Notamacropus eugenii: one gene and its partner. The main gene of each other region encodes a partner of the protein of the gene in region 2 in a complex. Links are inferred from orthologs where the notes say so. Each region holds a gene or a part of one and is shown on either strand. Other genes may lie near its edges.

Region 1 (7,902 bases), on a different chromosome or scaffold from region 2:
GCTACAGCAAACTCTCAAATGAATATTTTACAGGGCTAGAAAAATAATATGTTCCTCATAACAAGGAACAAAAGGTCAAGAATCTCAAGAGTAATAGTAAAAAAAAAAAAAAAAAAAAAAAAAAAAAGGTGGGAAGGAAGGTCAGGTCTCTCAGTACTAGATATGAAACCATACAATAAACAGAAACAATTACAATGATTTGGTACTCATTTAAAAGGGAAAAAGAGAGACATGTCAATCAGTGGAACCAATTAAATGTAAAACTATAAAAGCAAACAAACAGTAACATAGTGTTTGATAAAACAAACCCTTTTTACTGTGGGAAGGACTCACTATTTAACAAAAACTTCTGGAAAACCTGGACAGCAACCTGACAGAGATTAGGTATAGATCAATACCTCAGACTGTACCAGGATAAGTTTGAAAGAGATACATGACCTAGATATAAAAGATCATCCATCTCATAAACATATTAAAGGAGCAACAAAGAAATTACCTTTTACATATGTAGATAAGGAAGGAGTTTGTAATTAAACAAGCGACAAAGGATCACACAAGAAACAAATAGGCAATTTTGATTGTATAAACTTAAAATTATTTTTCACCAACAATGTAATGAAAATTAGAAATAGTTCACTGGGGGGAAAATTCTTTGCAACTAATTAATTAATTAAAGGTCACATATCTAAGAGCTATTACCCTATCGACAACTGGTAAAAGGATATGAAAAAGCAGTTTTCAAAGGATGACATCTGAGCTATCAACAATCATGTGAAAAAATACTCTGAATCATTAATAATCAGAAAAATGCAAGCTTTGAGATTTCACCTTACAACTATTAGATTGACAAAGATGACAAAAGAGGAAAATTACAAATGCTGGAGAGATTAAGGAAAAACAAATTCATTAGTGTCCTATTGGTGGAACTGTGAATTGGCCTAGCCAATCTGGAAATAAATTTGAAGATACGATCAGAAAGCTACCAAATTGTTCATACGTTGACCCAGTGATATTGCTACTAGTCTTATACTCTCAAATAAATCAAACAGAGGAAAAGGATCTATATGTACAAAAACATTTGTAATCTCTATTTTTGTATTAGCCAAAAGTTGGAAACCTAGAAAATATCCTCTTATTGGAGAATGGCTGAACAAATTGTGGTACATGAATGTAATGGCATATTATTGTGGCATCAGAAATAATGAAACAGAATTTCAGAAGGAAGTGGGAAGTACTCTATGAATTGATGCAGAGCAAAGTGAGGAGAAATAGAACAACTTATACAGTGACAACATTATGGAGAAAATAACTTTCAAAGACATTATAATGCTGATCAACAAAACATAAGACACAAGTCCAAAAGAACGGAAATGAAAATCATTGCTTACCTCCTGAGAGAGAAGTGATAAACTTAAAATAGAGATACTTACATTTTCAAACACGGCTAATGTGGACATTTGTTTGGCTAGATGATTATAGCAATGCATATAAGCTTTTGGTGTTTTTTAAAGTATTCTCAATGTCTCTGTGAAAGGAAATAATGATAGATTTTCAAGATATTTCAATCTATACTCTGAATCCATCAGTTCTCTATCTACAAGTGAATAGCATGTTTCATCATGAATCCTTTCGCATTGTGATGAGTCATTGTATTAATCTGAGTTACTAAGTCTTTAAGTTGATTATCTTTACAATATTTCCGTTGTTGTCTCTTGTTCTGGTCATTATCCTGGTTCTGTTCACTTTACTTTGCATCAGTTAATTCAGATCTTCCTGAGTTTTTCTGAATTCATCCTGTTCATCATTTCTTAACATATTAGGATTAGGTCACATTCATATACCATACTTTGATCAGCCATTACCCAATTGATTCCCCAATTAATTGCGTCAATTTCCAGTTCTTTGTCTCCACAAAAAGAATTACTATAAATATCTTTGTACATATAGGTACTTCTCCTCTTTCTTTGATCTCTTTAGAGTATTAACTTGCATTTTTCTAGTTATTAGAATTTTGAGAATATTTTCATATGGCCCTTGATAGCTTTGATTTCTTCTGCTGTCTATTCATATCCTTTAACCTTTCATTAACTTGTGGAGGGCTTTTCTTCTTATAGATTGGACTCTGTTCTTTGTATATTTTTGAAATGAGACTTTTTGCAACAAAGATTTTCCTCAGTTTCCTGCTTTTATTTTAATTTTAGGTGCTTTAGTTTTGTTCGTGAAAAACCTTCTTAATTTTATATAATCAAAATTATCCATTTTATCTCCAGTAAACTTGTCTATTTCTTGTTCAGTAGTGAACTCTTTCCCATCTGTAAATCTGACAGGTGATTCTTCTCTGCTCCACTAATTTAAATCAGATACCTATTTCAAACTCATCTTGGTATATGGTGTAAGATGTTGGTCTATGCCTAGCTTCTGCCAGATCATTTTCCAGTTTTCCCAAATGTTTTTGTCAAATGTGAGTTCTTGCCCCAATTGCTGGAAGGCAGGAGGAGGGAAGATATATAAGAACTGCTGCAGAATTAAGGCAGAATAGTACAAGATACACAATGACCACAGTAGGTAAAGGAAAGTAAAAAAAAAAGAAAAAATCAGAACTGCTTTCAGTACACTGAACAAGAAAATCTATAGAAGTATGTTGATGATGAGATACATACCTTATTGTGGAGAGGTGGTAGACTAAATATGTAGAATGATATATGTACTATCACATGCATCAGATCAATGTACTGTTTTGCTTAACTGTTAAAAGAGGATTCTACTTTGGGGATGCTACTTGGAAATGACAGTACTTTTTAAAAGAATCAATTAAATATTCTAAAAAACAGAACAGGCTACAGATATAAATTTGGTAATACAGACATAAGTATCATTTAAGCCAGATGTTCCCAAACTTATTTGGCCTATTGCCCCCTTTTCAAAAAAGAAATACTCAACAACCCCCTGGAAATCTACTTTCTTTAACCCTTTAACAGGTTTTTTAAAAAGTTGTATCCTTTCAAAAATATAATTTTTTTTAAATGACACGTCTTAAATTTGATAGTTTATTGCAAATTTGTGGGGTTTTTTCCTGTATTGAAACTTTGATGAGGCAATACTGTACCATATAACCATTGTAAACCAATACCATAGTATTGTATTGTAAACATGTCATTACATGCACATATTCCTGCCAACACATGCTGGACTTCCAACAATGCAGGGACAAGCTCACTTAACAACACTTACATATTAAGACCTGTGAGTGTGGACTTGATCACTCACTGGTTATAATTTGCATTTTGTGCATTTACTTGGAAAATAATGTAATTACTATGACTTTAACTCTGTTACATGACAGATGAGACACGTATGATGGGTTTTTCGAATTCTTATCTAATCTTCTTTCCTTTTGCTTCCATGATCCCTTTATTTTTCCTCAATACCCCCCAAATGTACCCAAAGTTACTACTGCCCCCCCATAGTTCCAGCACCCCCAGGGGACAGTATCACCCACTTTGGGAACCTCTGGAAGCTGTGGGAGTGAATGAGGTCATCACTGCTTATATAATCGGCATCTGCTTATCTGTTGTCTCCAGCTAATGGAAGAAGCCACTCCTTGAGGACAGGCACTGTTCCATTTTTGTCGCTGTATCACTAGCACCTAACCCAGCACCAGGAACCCAATAAGGGCTTAATAAACAATGCTTATTGTAGTGAAATGAGTGTCAAGAGCAGAGCTTGAAAGACTTAAGGAAAGCTGAACTAGTATAATATTTGCAATACTTCTGAAAAGAGTATGTTCAAACACAAGACAACGATTACCAAGAGATCAGTAGTTCTTCTTTAGTTTAAAAGCAGGCTGAATCAGTCTTGAAGATTAAGTTCATCCCTCTTTACAAAGAAAGGACTCTTTGAATAGATGGACTTGTATGCTGTAACCTGTACCTTTTGAGCCACATCCCCCAACTTCAGTATTCCTCCTAGTTCCAAAATAGCAAACAAGCCAATTCCTTTCACTGTGGCTCATTTCGTACCTGGCTGCATCTGGGTCCCAGGGTCTTTGGGTCTTCTCTCAATTATCCACTATATCCCAGGATCATTACCATTAGGACCACTCACCCATCTATAACATCAAATTAGGCTTGGTCCTGGCTCACCTCTTCCTCAGTAATTACCTTCTGCTCCTCCGACTGCAAGGTGAGACCAGGAATGCCAAAATTTCCATTTAAGGAGAAGCCTCGGGACTGACCATCGGATTTCCCACCCGTCAGGGAGACTCCCCCTCCTCCTCCCCCGAGGACCGCCCTTTCGCACTTCTCTCTCCTTTGCAGCTTCCTTTTTTGAAGTCTTCCCCCTTAGATCTGTCAGCACCTTGAAAGCGAGGGCTGCTCCTGTGTGTGGGGGTGGGGGTGGAGGTGTGAGGGGGTGTGAGCGGGTGGCGGGGTGGGGGTGTGTGGCTGGGGGGGGGGGGGGGCACATTTCCAACCCCCTACTTCCTTCAGACAAGGTTTTTAAACCTGCCGCCCTCTCCTTTCGCTCTAAGTCCCAATCCCGGGGGTTCTTTTTCCACCCAGACATCCCTAACGAAAACAGGGCTGAACGGCGGGGAAAGAGGCCCCGGGCATTCTGCAGTGCTGGGCGTAAACGGCAGCCGGGCCCTGGGGGCTCCTGAGCTTGCAGGGGCCAAGCTGGGCCCCAAAGGCCGACTTGGGGATTCGTGGATGAGGACCGCAGCAACGCCCCAACGCCGCAGCTCTGCAAAGCCTGCAGCTGGAGAGGGGGCGGTGACGTTTGGGAGAGGCGGGGTTTCCGCTTCCGGTTACGGATTGTTGACGACGGCGACTGCGGCGGCGCCGGGCTGGGGCAGTGACAGATCCAGCTGCGGCTGGGGCAGTGGCGACCATGGCGGAGGGCCCGGAAAAAGCCCAGGGCCGCCTACCCCGGCAGCGCGGCAAGCGGGAGAACCGAGGCGGGGGCCGCGACTCCGAAGCCTCCACCTCGAGCTCGTCGGCCGTCATCCCTCCCCGGGACGAGCAGCCGGGCCAGTCTCGGGCCCCGGCGAGGCCCGAGGCGAAGAACGTCGCCGCAGCCTCCGCCTCCGAGGCGGGCCCGGAGCGCGAGCCCGGGCCTACCGACAGCGAAGCGGACCCCGGCGGCGGCGAGGCGCCCGCGGAGAAGCCGACGGCGCGCGAGTACTCCCGGCAGGTGCACGAGTGGCTGTGGCAGTCGTACTGCGGCTACCTGACCTGGCAGAGCGGCCTCCTGGCTTTCCCCGCCTACGGCAGCCCCCCGCTGCAGCCGCCGCCGCCCCCGCCTCCGCCGTCCTGCGCCCCGGGAAGCGGCAGCCCCCCCAACGGCCCCGCGGCCGGGCCCCCGCTTGCCCCGCTCGGCTACTACAACCCCTTCTACTGTCTGGCCACCCCCCCAGCGGCCGACCCCGCGACCACTGCGGCGGCCACTGCGGCGCCGACCGCGACCCCCGCCGCCCCCGCTGCGGCTGCCGCCGCCGCCGCCGCCCCCTCCCCGGGGCCCCGAGCCCCTAGCTGGCAGGGATCGGCCAGACTGGCTCCGGTGACCAGGGCTGGTGGCGTCACCGCGGCCCGGCAGCAGAACGAGAACGGGCGTCCCGCAGGTAAAGGGCGGCGGGGGGTGTGTCTGTCTGGGTCTGAGTCTAGGTCTGTGTGGCTAGGGGGTAGGGCTCGCTTGGAAGCAGTGGTGCCTGCCTTTTTTAATTCAAATATTTGCTTATGTATTCTTTTTTTTTCTTTTTTTAGCGCAGAAACACTTGCACCTTTCGGACCTCGATTTTTTCCTTAAGGTGGACATATAGGCTGCAATTTCCAAAGGGCACGACTAGGTTTCTGGTCTTCTTCACGCATGTGCACCACAGTTCTCTTTCTCCTTTGCTCCATTAAACTCCACATTAGGGAAGCTCCCTTTGCCACCTGACCTTTTCTGCAAACCCTCCTGAGAGGGAAATGTTTTGTATTATATTCCGGACCAGAGGTAATATGGTAAAGTAGATAAGAGTTTGGGGAGATAGAGTCAGAAGACCGAGGTTCATACCTGATTGCTCAAGGTGGTAGGGTGACCATGGGCATATATATCTGTGAGATTGTTAACTGGTGAGTGATTTAACTGTATACTGCGACCCAAAAGATTATGTGCTTGTTTCTTGTAATTATTAGGCTTATTTAACTGTTTTTGTTTTTAGAGGAGAGGATTCCTTTTCCGTGGGAGGTGTGTCAGGAAATAAGTGTAGTGTGAAAAGGAATGGCATTAATAAACCATTTAAAAACTAAAATGGCATATGAATGTAATGACAAGGTACTGCTCTGCAGAAATAAGAATATAAATAACAGTAGGACCTGCCATTTCATTAGTAAGCCCCCAGAAAAACTACCAGTGCAGGCTGGTACCTTCTCTACAACTTAAGTCTTTCAGAATTCTTAGAGTATGGGAAGCTAAATGAATTGTCCAGCCAGAGTGCTCCAGAGATAGGACTTGAACCCAGAACTTCCTGGCTCTGAGGCTAACTGTCTATATGACACATGGCCTCTCTAATAAAAAAATCAAAAATATGAAGAATTTACAGAAACATGGAAAAATACAGGTTGGCATGAAGCAGAGCAAAAAAACCCAACCCCACAACCAGGAGAATAGCGTACATGATAATTGCAATAAATGATATACACAAAAATGACACCGAAAGGTAGCGGAAGGCATATTTAATGCAGTGACAATCCTGGTCCTTGAGGACAGAAAAAAGAAGTCCGTCCCTCCTTTCTGTAGAGAAGTACAAGTCTTCAGTTAAGAATGTTGTATCACACTGTAAGAAGCAGTGATTTTGCTGGTCAGAGTTCTCAGAATTTTAGGACTTGGAAAGGAACCTCAGTGACTCTCTAGAGTCTAGACCAGTCCATACACTATAGGAATCTTAACTGTAGCATACCCAACAAGCAACTGTCCACCTTGTGCTTGAAGAGAACCTTGAAGGAGGAGGAGCCTATCTCTGGAGGCAGCCTATTCTACTTTTGAACAATTGTAATCATTGGGATGTGCTTCCTGACATCCCTTCCCTCTTTCCCCACGTTGCTGCTTGTTCTGTCTTCTGGAGCCAAGCAGAGCAAATATAAACCTTCCTTACCAGGACAGTTTCTTGAGTTTTCTCTTCTTCAGGCTAAACATGCCCAGTTCCTTCAACACAGACTTACATGACCTGGGTCCTTCACCCTTGTAGTTGCCCTCCTCTAAACATTTTCTAACTTCTTTTTTTAAACTGTGACACTTAGAGCTGAACACAGTACTTCAAATGATGTCTAACAAGGGCAGAATATAGTGGGACTGCCACCTCATTCCTAAAAGCTATGTTGTTCTTAGTGCAGCTCAATATCAATAGCTTTGTTGGCTACCACATTATCATACTGATTCATATCAAGCTTGATGCCCACTAAAAACCCCAGATCTTTTTCAAAACAGGAGTCTAACTGACTCTTGTACTTGGGGAAATGATTTTTTTTTTTGTTTTGGTGCCCAAGTAAGAGACTTTATATTTTATCCCGATTGAATTTCATCTTTGACTCATCTGTAGTCTTGTCAAGATCTTTTGATATTCTAATTCTGTCATCTTATCATGTTTACTATCATGTTCAACTCTGTGTGTTACCTATATATCTGATGAGCATGTCATCTGTGCTCTTATATTGGTTATAAAAATGTGAAATAGTATATAGCCAAGCAAAGATCCCTGGGGTACTCAGCCTCCATGATTCTTTCTTGCATCCTCAGACTTCCCACCACTACACCTCCCCACTCTGAACTGAGCATCTTGCCTCATGTTTGATTGAAGAAAGTGAAGCCATTCAGTGAGAGCTCCCTTTTTTTCTCTCCTCTTCCTCATCTCCCATCACCCAAATT
Region 2 (7,434 bases):
GAATAGCAGCCCTGCCCCCACCCAAAGCCCTGAGGCTGGGAAGCAGCATTTGAATCTCAGACCCCAAGCACTGGCTGGGTGGATCTGGAGGTGAGGTGGGGGTGGAAAGAAAACTCAGAAGGCAAGTCACTGTCTGGGAAAAGGACCAGAAAAGGGAAAAAAAATAAGACTATAGAAGGTTACTTTCTTGGTGAACAGATATTTTCTCCCTTCCTTTCTGATGAGGAAGAACAATGCTTACCATGACGGAAAGACACAGAAGTCAAGGCTTCTGTATCCCACACATCCAAAATAAATATACCATGGGCTCAGGCCATGGAAGAGCTCAAAAAGGATTTTGAAAATCAAGTAAGAGAGGTGGAGGAAAAACTGGGAAGAGAAATGAGAGAGATGAAAGAAAAGTATGAGAAGCAGGTCAACACCTTGCTAAAGGAGACCCAAAAAAATGCTGAAGAAAATAATACCTTGAAAAATAGGCTAACTCGACTGGCAAAAGAGGTTCAAAAAGCCAATGAGGAGAAGAATGCTTTCAAAAGCAGAATTAGCCAAATGGAAAAGGAGATTCAAAAGCTCACTGAAGAAAATAGCTCTTTAAAAATTAGAATGGAGCAGATGGAAGCTAATGACTTTATGTTAAACCAAGAAATTACAAAACAAAACCAAAGGAACGAAAAAATCGAAAATAATGTGAAATATCTCATTGGAAAAACAACTGACCTGGAAAATAGATCCAGGAGAGACAATTTAAAAATTATGGGACTACCTGAAAGCCATGACCTAAAAAAGAGCCTAGACATCATTTTTCATGAAATTATCAAGGAAAACTGCCTTGAGATTTTAGAACCAGAGGGCAAAATAAGTATTCAAGGAATCCACAGATCACTGCCTGAAAGAGATCCAAAAAGAGAAACTCCTAGGAACATTGTGGCCAAATTCCAGAGTTCCCAGGTCAAGGAGAAAATATTGCAAGCAGCTAGAAAGAAACAATTCAAGTATTATGGAAATACAATCAGGATAACACAAGATCTAGTAGCTTCTACATTAAGGGATCGAAGGGCATGGAATAGGATATTCCAGAAGTCAAAGGGACTAGGACTAAAACCAAGGATCACCTACCCAGCAAAACTGAGTATAATACTTCAGGGGAAAAATTGGTCTTTCAATGAAATTGAGGACTTTCAAGCATTCTTGATGAAAAGACCAGAGCTGAAAAGAAAATTTGACTTTCAAACACAAGAATGAAGAGAAGCATGAAAAGGTAAACAGCAAAGAGAAGTCAGAAGGGACTTACTAAAGTTGAACTGTTTACATTCCTACATGAAAAGACAATATTTGTAACTCTTGAAATTTTTCAATATCTGGGTACTGGCTGGGATTACACACACACACATGCACATGCACATGCACACACACATAGAGACAGAGTGCACAGAGTGAATTGAAGAGGATGGGATCATATCTTAAAAAAATGAAATCAAGCAGTGAGAGAGAAATATATTGGGAGGAGAAAGGGAGAAATGGAATGGGGCAAATTATCTCTCATAAAAGAGGCAAGCAAAAGACTTTTTAGTGGAGGGAAAAAGAGGGGAGGTGAGAGAAAAACATGAAGTTTACTGTCATCACATTCCACTAAAGGAAGGAATAAAATGCACACTCATTTTGGTACAAAAACCTATCTTACAATACAGGAAAGTGGGGGATAAGGGGATAAGCAGTGTAGGGGGGATGATGGAAGGGAGGGCATGGGGAGGAGGGAGCAATTTGAGGTCAACACTCATGGGGAGGGACAGGATCAAAAGAGAGAATAGAAGTAATGGGGGACAGGATAGGATGGAGGGAAAGAAAATTAGTCTTATACAACACAACTATTATGGAAGTCATTTGCAAAACTACACAGATATGGCCTATATTGAATTGTTTGTCTTCCAAAGGGAAGGGGTGGGGAGGGAGGGAGGAAGAGAAGTTGGAACTCAAAGTTTTAGGAACAACTGTCGAGTACTGTTCTTGCTACTAGGAAACAAGAAATACAGGTAAAGGGGTATAGAAAGTTATTTGGCCCTACAGGACAAAAGAGAAGATGGAGACAAGGACAGAGAGGGATGATAGAAGAGAGGGCAGATTGGTGATAGGGGCAATTAGAATGCTTGGTGTTTTGGGGTGGGGGGAGAGGACAAATGGGGAGAAAATTTGGAACCCAAAATTTTGTGAAAATGAATGTTAAAAGTTAAATAAAAAAAATAATAAAAAAAATAAAAAGAAATTGTCTCTTTAGCTTGCATCTGGCCAATCACTGTCTTCAGATAATGACATAATCTTTACTACTCTACTGGCACAGGACTGCTCAGCATGGCGTGCCCACATCAGAAAGGGTGCTGTGCTCTTTGAGCAAAGCAGAATTGAGACAGCACAAAGTAAACATAAGATGCGCAAATTTGGGATATCCACCCCAAATATTCACATGGATTATCTGTGCCCAACCTGTGGTAAAGCATTCTGAGCTCATATTGGTCTGATCACCCACAGTCAGACATATTGAAATTTCACTTTATCCCAGTGATGTCATTTTGGTCCTCTTTGAAGACAGACAACAACCACCACCAACAACCAATACCACATCAGCTCAAAACCAGCTGCAAGGCCTAAAGGCAGTTAAGGCCTTGATCCTTAGTCAGAGCCTCAAGGCAGCTCCTCTAGCACAGTTATAATGGCTTGTTCTTGGGCAATATGTATCTGTTCCACCCTTGCTTCTTGAAAGCAACTTGATTATTAAAGGAGTTGATTATTAAATTTTCAGTTTGAGTACTGATACCTCAGAAATTGTCAATTGCTACAAATCAGGCCTTGATTTGTTTATTTTTGTTGATTTCTGAACTTCAAAAAGTTTTAATAATGTAGACTAACCTTAAGAGTGTTTGTGCACACATTTTTTTTACCCCTGGGAGAGCCCAGTTATGTAACATTTAATGGCACACTCCTGTATCGTTTTATAAATGTTGTTTGAACTAAGCAGGAATGCAGTAAAAGACTCAGAGAATGAAGTCATTACCAGACTAGAAGACTGGAGACTATAAATAATAATGATAATAATTATTAATTAAATTAATATATTGTATAACAATGTAATATAATATAAATATAACATATTACTATAATAATAATTTGCAGAATGTTTTATATCCATTATCTTATTTGAGCTTCACAAAACACCTGGTTCAAGGTCATCAGAATACCATGGCAACTAGGTAGGGGTATGTAAGTGATATCTGCCTGGCAGAAGATAGAAACCTTGGTCCAACAAACAAATCACCCTTGTTGTTCATCCTTCTTTTTTTGAAGAGAAGCAATGAAATCACAATGTTTTGGGTGATATCTTGACTTGCTAGTAAGAATGGATTTTAGTGAGGCACAGTTGGAAAAAGACGTCAACTTCACTCTCCCTTCCAAAACCATCAAATTCCAGTGACAGGACAAAAACCAAGATGACTGGTGATGGCCCGGATGCAATGGATGTCCATTTTAAAGACTTTGGGAGGAAAGGTGCTCCCAGGGTTACAAATTAAATAGACATTATTAATCATTATTGCTGTCAAAGGTTGCAAAGCACTCTACATCTGTTATTTTCACAACTCTGAGGCAGGTGCTATAATTATCTCCATTATGCAAATGAGGAAACTGAGGATGAGCGACCTTCCCAGGGTCGCACAGCACTTTGTAGTCATTAGGGTAACAATTAGACGTCATTCCAGTTATCCCTTCGCGTATCATTCCATCATAGTAGCACTGCAGCCAGAGGTTCATTTTGATCTTTATTAAAATGCTTATTCCCGTTTTTATGCGACACTCAGGGTCGCAGAATCCGGCCCCATTGTCCTGCCAGCAGGTGGCCGGTCCCGCTGCAGAGCGGCTGGCCAGCTCCTCTTCCTTGCCCCGCCCAGCCGCAGAGGTAACGAAGAAGGATTAGATCTGACAGCAAGTCCCGGTCAGGGGGATACCTCGGCCCCTGAGTCCTCCGTTCAGGCACGCCCCTTTTAGAGGAGAGCTGCTGACCTAGCTTCTTATTGGCTGACTCAGCGCTGACTCCAGCCAATCCACTCTCGGCAGGTAAGAGGCCTTGGAAATCTCAGAGCCGAAGCCCACCTCTTCCCACTCCCTCCCACCACCACCACCAGCCCTGCTCTCGTCCGTCAGCCGGTCTTTCTGTCTTTCTGTCCCTCCCTCCGTCCATCTTTCCGTCAGTCCTTCTCGTCTGTCCGCCAGTCCGTCGCTCTCATACATACTGTCCGACATCACGTAGACCAATAGGAGCCCGCGTCTCCATGACGGGCATAAGCGAGGACTAGTGAGATCCACAGGCGTAAGGGGGAAGGGCGAGGCGGCTGCCCGGTTCAGGGCGGAAGCGGCCGCTTTCGGGTTAGGGTCGAGGGACGAAAGATGGCGGCGACGTCGCTGCTCTTTCGGCTGCTATGGCCTCTGCTCCTGGGGCCGCTGTTGTCAGAGCTGCCGGCCTGCGTAGTCGGGAGCTTGAACCTGGAGGAGCTGAATGAGATGCGATACGGCATCGAGATCCTGCCGCGGCCTGTCATCGGGGGTCAGGTGAGCCCCGGGGGAGCAGGAGGCGGGGAGGGGGGGAGCTGGGGCCAGGGGCTGGGGTGGGGCGTCCGGGGGAGGGGGCGACAGGAGACCGAGGACCCCGAGAGACGAGGGCGAGGCGAGGGGAGGTATGGAGGAGGACCCTGAGAGGCGTCGCTCCATCCCTCTGCGGAGGAGGGCTGGCGACCTCGGACATCGTCCAGCCGCAGAGCCTCCGCTTTACAGATGGGGAAACTGAGTCCCCGAAAGGGAAAATGAGATCCTGGCTCCCCTTGTGAGTCGGAGGCGGGGGAGCAAGCCGGGCCTCCCGGTGTCGCAGAAAGAAACAAAATGCACGGAGCATTCCCCGTGCGCACGCTGACCATGCCAGCCCTTCCCTCCCATAGTTCCCATTTTCCTCTCTGACTGCTGCGTTCGTCTTCCAGGCTTGGCTCGGATTGTCATTGTTGTCAACGATCTCCGTCAGCCTCTGTCCCTCTGTTCTACCTCTGACCCCCCAAATTGTGTTCTCTCCTCTTCCAGAGCCAGTCCTCAGAGGTCGTGATTGTCTCCTCCAAGTACAAACAGCGATACGAATGCCGTCTACCAGCTGGAGCCATTCACTTCCAGCGGGAGCATGAGGAGGAGGCCCCTCCTTATAAAGGGCCTGGAGTCCCTGAGCTGCTGAACCCAATGAGAGAGGCGCCCTGCCTAGTGAAAGTGAATGGGGCTGGAGGAGGGAAAAGGAGGGCAGGACAGCAAATTAAATTAGAGTGGAAAGCCTGGAGGGTGGGCTGTTGAGGAAGAAGGGGTATAGGGACTAGGGCAGGGTGGGTATAAACAGGCCACCCAAGAGTAAAGGCAGTGATGAGGACAAAAATAACCCTATACTCGGGATAGACCCCAAGCACAACCTAATAGAATGTTGGGGGATAGAAGGAGTAATAGTATTAGAATGAGATTAGAGTGTTTGGGAGGAGGAGTTTATCGACAGAGGGAGAAGTTGAGGGGTGGGGATAAAATTAAAAGCGGAGGATCTCTAAAGAAATGTGATTGTTTCCTCTTCTCATGAAAGGCACAATGAGAGGGGAGGGCAGAAATTGCAGGTGGAGGAAGTTTAGACTGCAAGGAAGCTTTGAAGAAATACCTAGAAACAGGGAGATCAAGGGGCAGTAAGGGATCCTCTTCCATAGAGAACATAAAGGATTCCCTGCCAAGGAAGGTACAAAAGTGGACGAAAGCATCTTAAGAGCTGGACAGACTTCCCCCTCCCCCTCCTCACATCCCTACTGACTGTTAACTTTGTCATTGTTAGACCAAGGACTGGTGGACATATGAATTTTGTTATGGACGCCACATACAGCAATACCACATGGAAGGTGATTCCTCTAATTCCTTCACTCTCCCACTGCAATACTAGATGAAGGGTAACCCACCTTATTCTGACCTCTTACCTTACAGAAGAGTAACAATTCTACCCTTTGGTGTTTCTTCTAGATTCAGAGATCAAAGGTTCTGTTCTTTATCTTGGATATTACCAATCTTCCTTCAACTGGGATGATGAGACTGCCAAGGTAGTGGTGGTTGGAGAGTTGGGAGGGAAAGTAAGGATCCTGGTTGGAGTCTTGAGATCTCTGGGGAATAGGGAATGGGTCTGGGTGAGTCAAACTAGCTTCTCAGGGTTGAATGACCATTCAGTCTTAGCTCCTAGGGCCTTTTTCAAATATTTTAGCATTTTCAGGGCTGCCCCTCCTACTTTATCATATTTCCTCCCCTCCCCCCCACCTCTACATATCAGGCCTCCAAGCAACACCGTCTGAAACGCTACCATAGTCAGCACTATGGAAATGGCTCCAAGTGTGACCTGAATGGTCGGCCCAGAGAGACTGAAGTCCGGGTGAGTCTAGGGAAATGGAAGCCATCTCTTCTCATAACAAAGCACTTGAACTGTGAGGAGACAGAGTAGAATTGTCTTCTAGGGGCCAGTCCCCAAAGATTTAACTATCTGATGCTCCTTTCTCTGGCTTGTCACTCTAGTTAATTCTCTATATAATGCAGGCTTTTATTTCCCTTTTCAAATCTTCCCCTGCCACTCCCCAGTAGCAACAATAGAGTTGCCATTATTCCAATCCCTCCTGAATTAACTTGCTCTCTCTCGGTCAGTTTCTGTGTGATGAAGGTTCAGATGCTTCGGGGGATTACATTGATCGGGTAGATGAACCTCAGTCATGTTCTTATGTGCTCACTATTCGAACCCCTCGACTCTGCTCCCATCCTCTTCTTCGACCTCCTCCAAGTGCTGCCCCCCAGGCCATCCGATGTCACCCTACCTTACAGCCAGAGCAGTATGGAGCATATATCCAGGGACAAGTGTGTGAGTCTCAGGGGGACTGGGATATATTTGAAGGAGAGGAGTGGGGAGAGAGGGAATATTTTGAACACCTAGTCTCATGCTCTCCAATTAATTTCCCTTTTTATTTTTTTCCAGTAGATGCAAAGCAGAAAATTGAAGAAATCTCTGAGAAGCTTCACAACCCAGACCTTGAAATGTGGAGTGAGACACAGTTTGGGGTCCTCGATACAAAGGGAACAGGTCATATTTCCTCTCAGTTATCCTGTGAGGTGGCTCTTCTCTGCTAGTTTTAGTAGCTCCTGGGAAGGGAAGGGGGTGCCATCTATCTTGACTGCTTTGTTCCACCTGTTGAGATCCATACAGAGGAGGTGCAGGTGTAGTTCCGCATTTCCTTTTTCTCTTCAGACCTTGCTTTGTCCCATTCCTACTCCCAGGTATGACCCCACCCAAGGGTGACCCTGGAGAATCAGATATCTGGAACAAGGTCCCTCAGACTGAAGAACAGGCCCCGC

The links. The genes of interacting proteins can lie anywhere in the genome.
Region 1: OS9 (region 2) and FAM8A1 share a complex: the UniProt entries of both Homo sapiens proteins name them as parts of the HRD1 complex. The link is inferred for Notamacropus eugenii from reciprocal best matches to the Homo sapiens genes OS9 and FAM8A1.

What each region holds. Positions count from the first base shown.
Region 1 is NC_092875.1:190,223,640-190,231,541, forward strand, and holds the start of FAM8A1 (protein FAM8A1), read left to right. Parts: upstream 1-4,807; 5' UTR 4,808-4,887; coding exon 4,888-5,617; intron 5,618-7,902. UniProt on the Homo sapiens protein: Plays a role in the assembly of the HRD1 complex, a complex involved in the ubiquitin-proteasome-dependent process of ER-associated degradation (ERAD).
Region 2 is NC_092874.1:233,054,172-233,061,605, forward strand, and holds the start of OS9 (protein OS-9), read left to right. Parts: upstream 1-4,360; 5' UTR 4,361-4,431; coding exon 4,432-4,593; intron 4,594-5,112; coding exon 5,113-5,289; intron 5,290-5,884; coding exon 5,885-5,948; intron 5,949-6,066; coding exon 6,067-6,143; intron 6,144-6,367; coding exon 6,368-6,466; intron 6,467-6,732; coding exon 6,733-6,943; intron 6,944-7,057; coding exon 7,058-7,162; intron 7,163-7,356; coding exon 7,357-7,434. UniProt on the Homo sapiens protein: Lectin component of the HRD1 complex, which functions in endoplasmic reticulum (ER) quality control and ER-associated degradation (ERAD).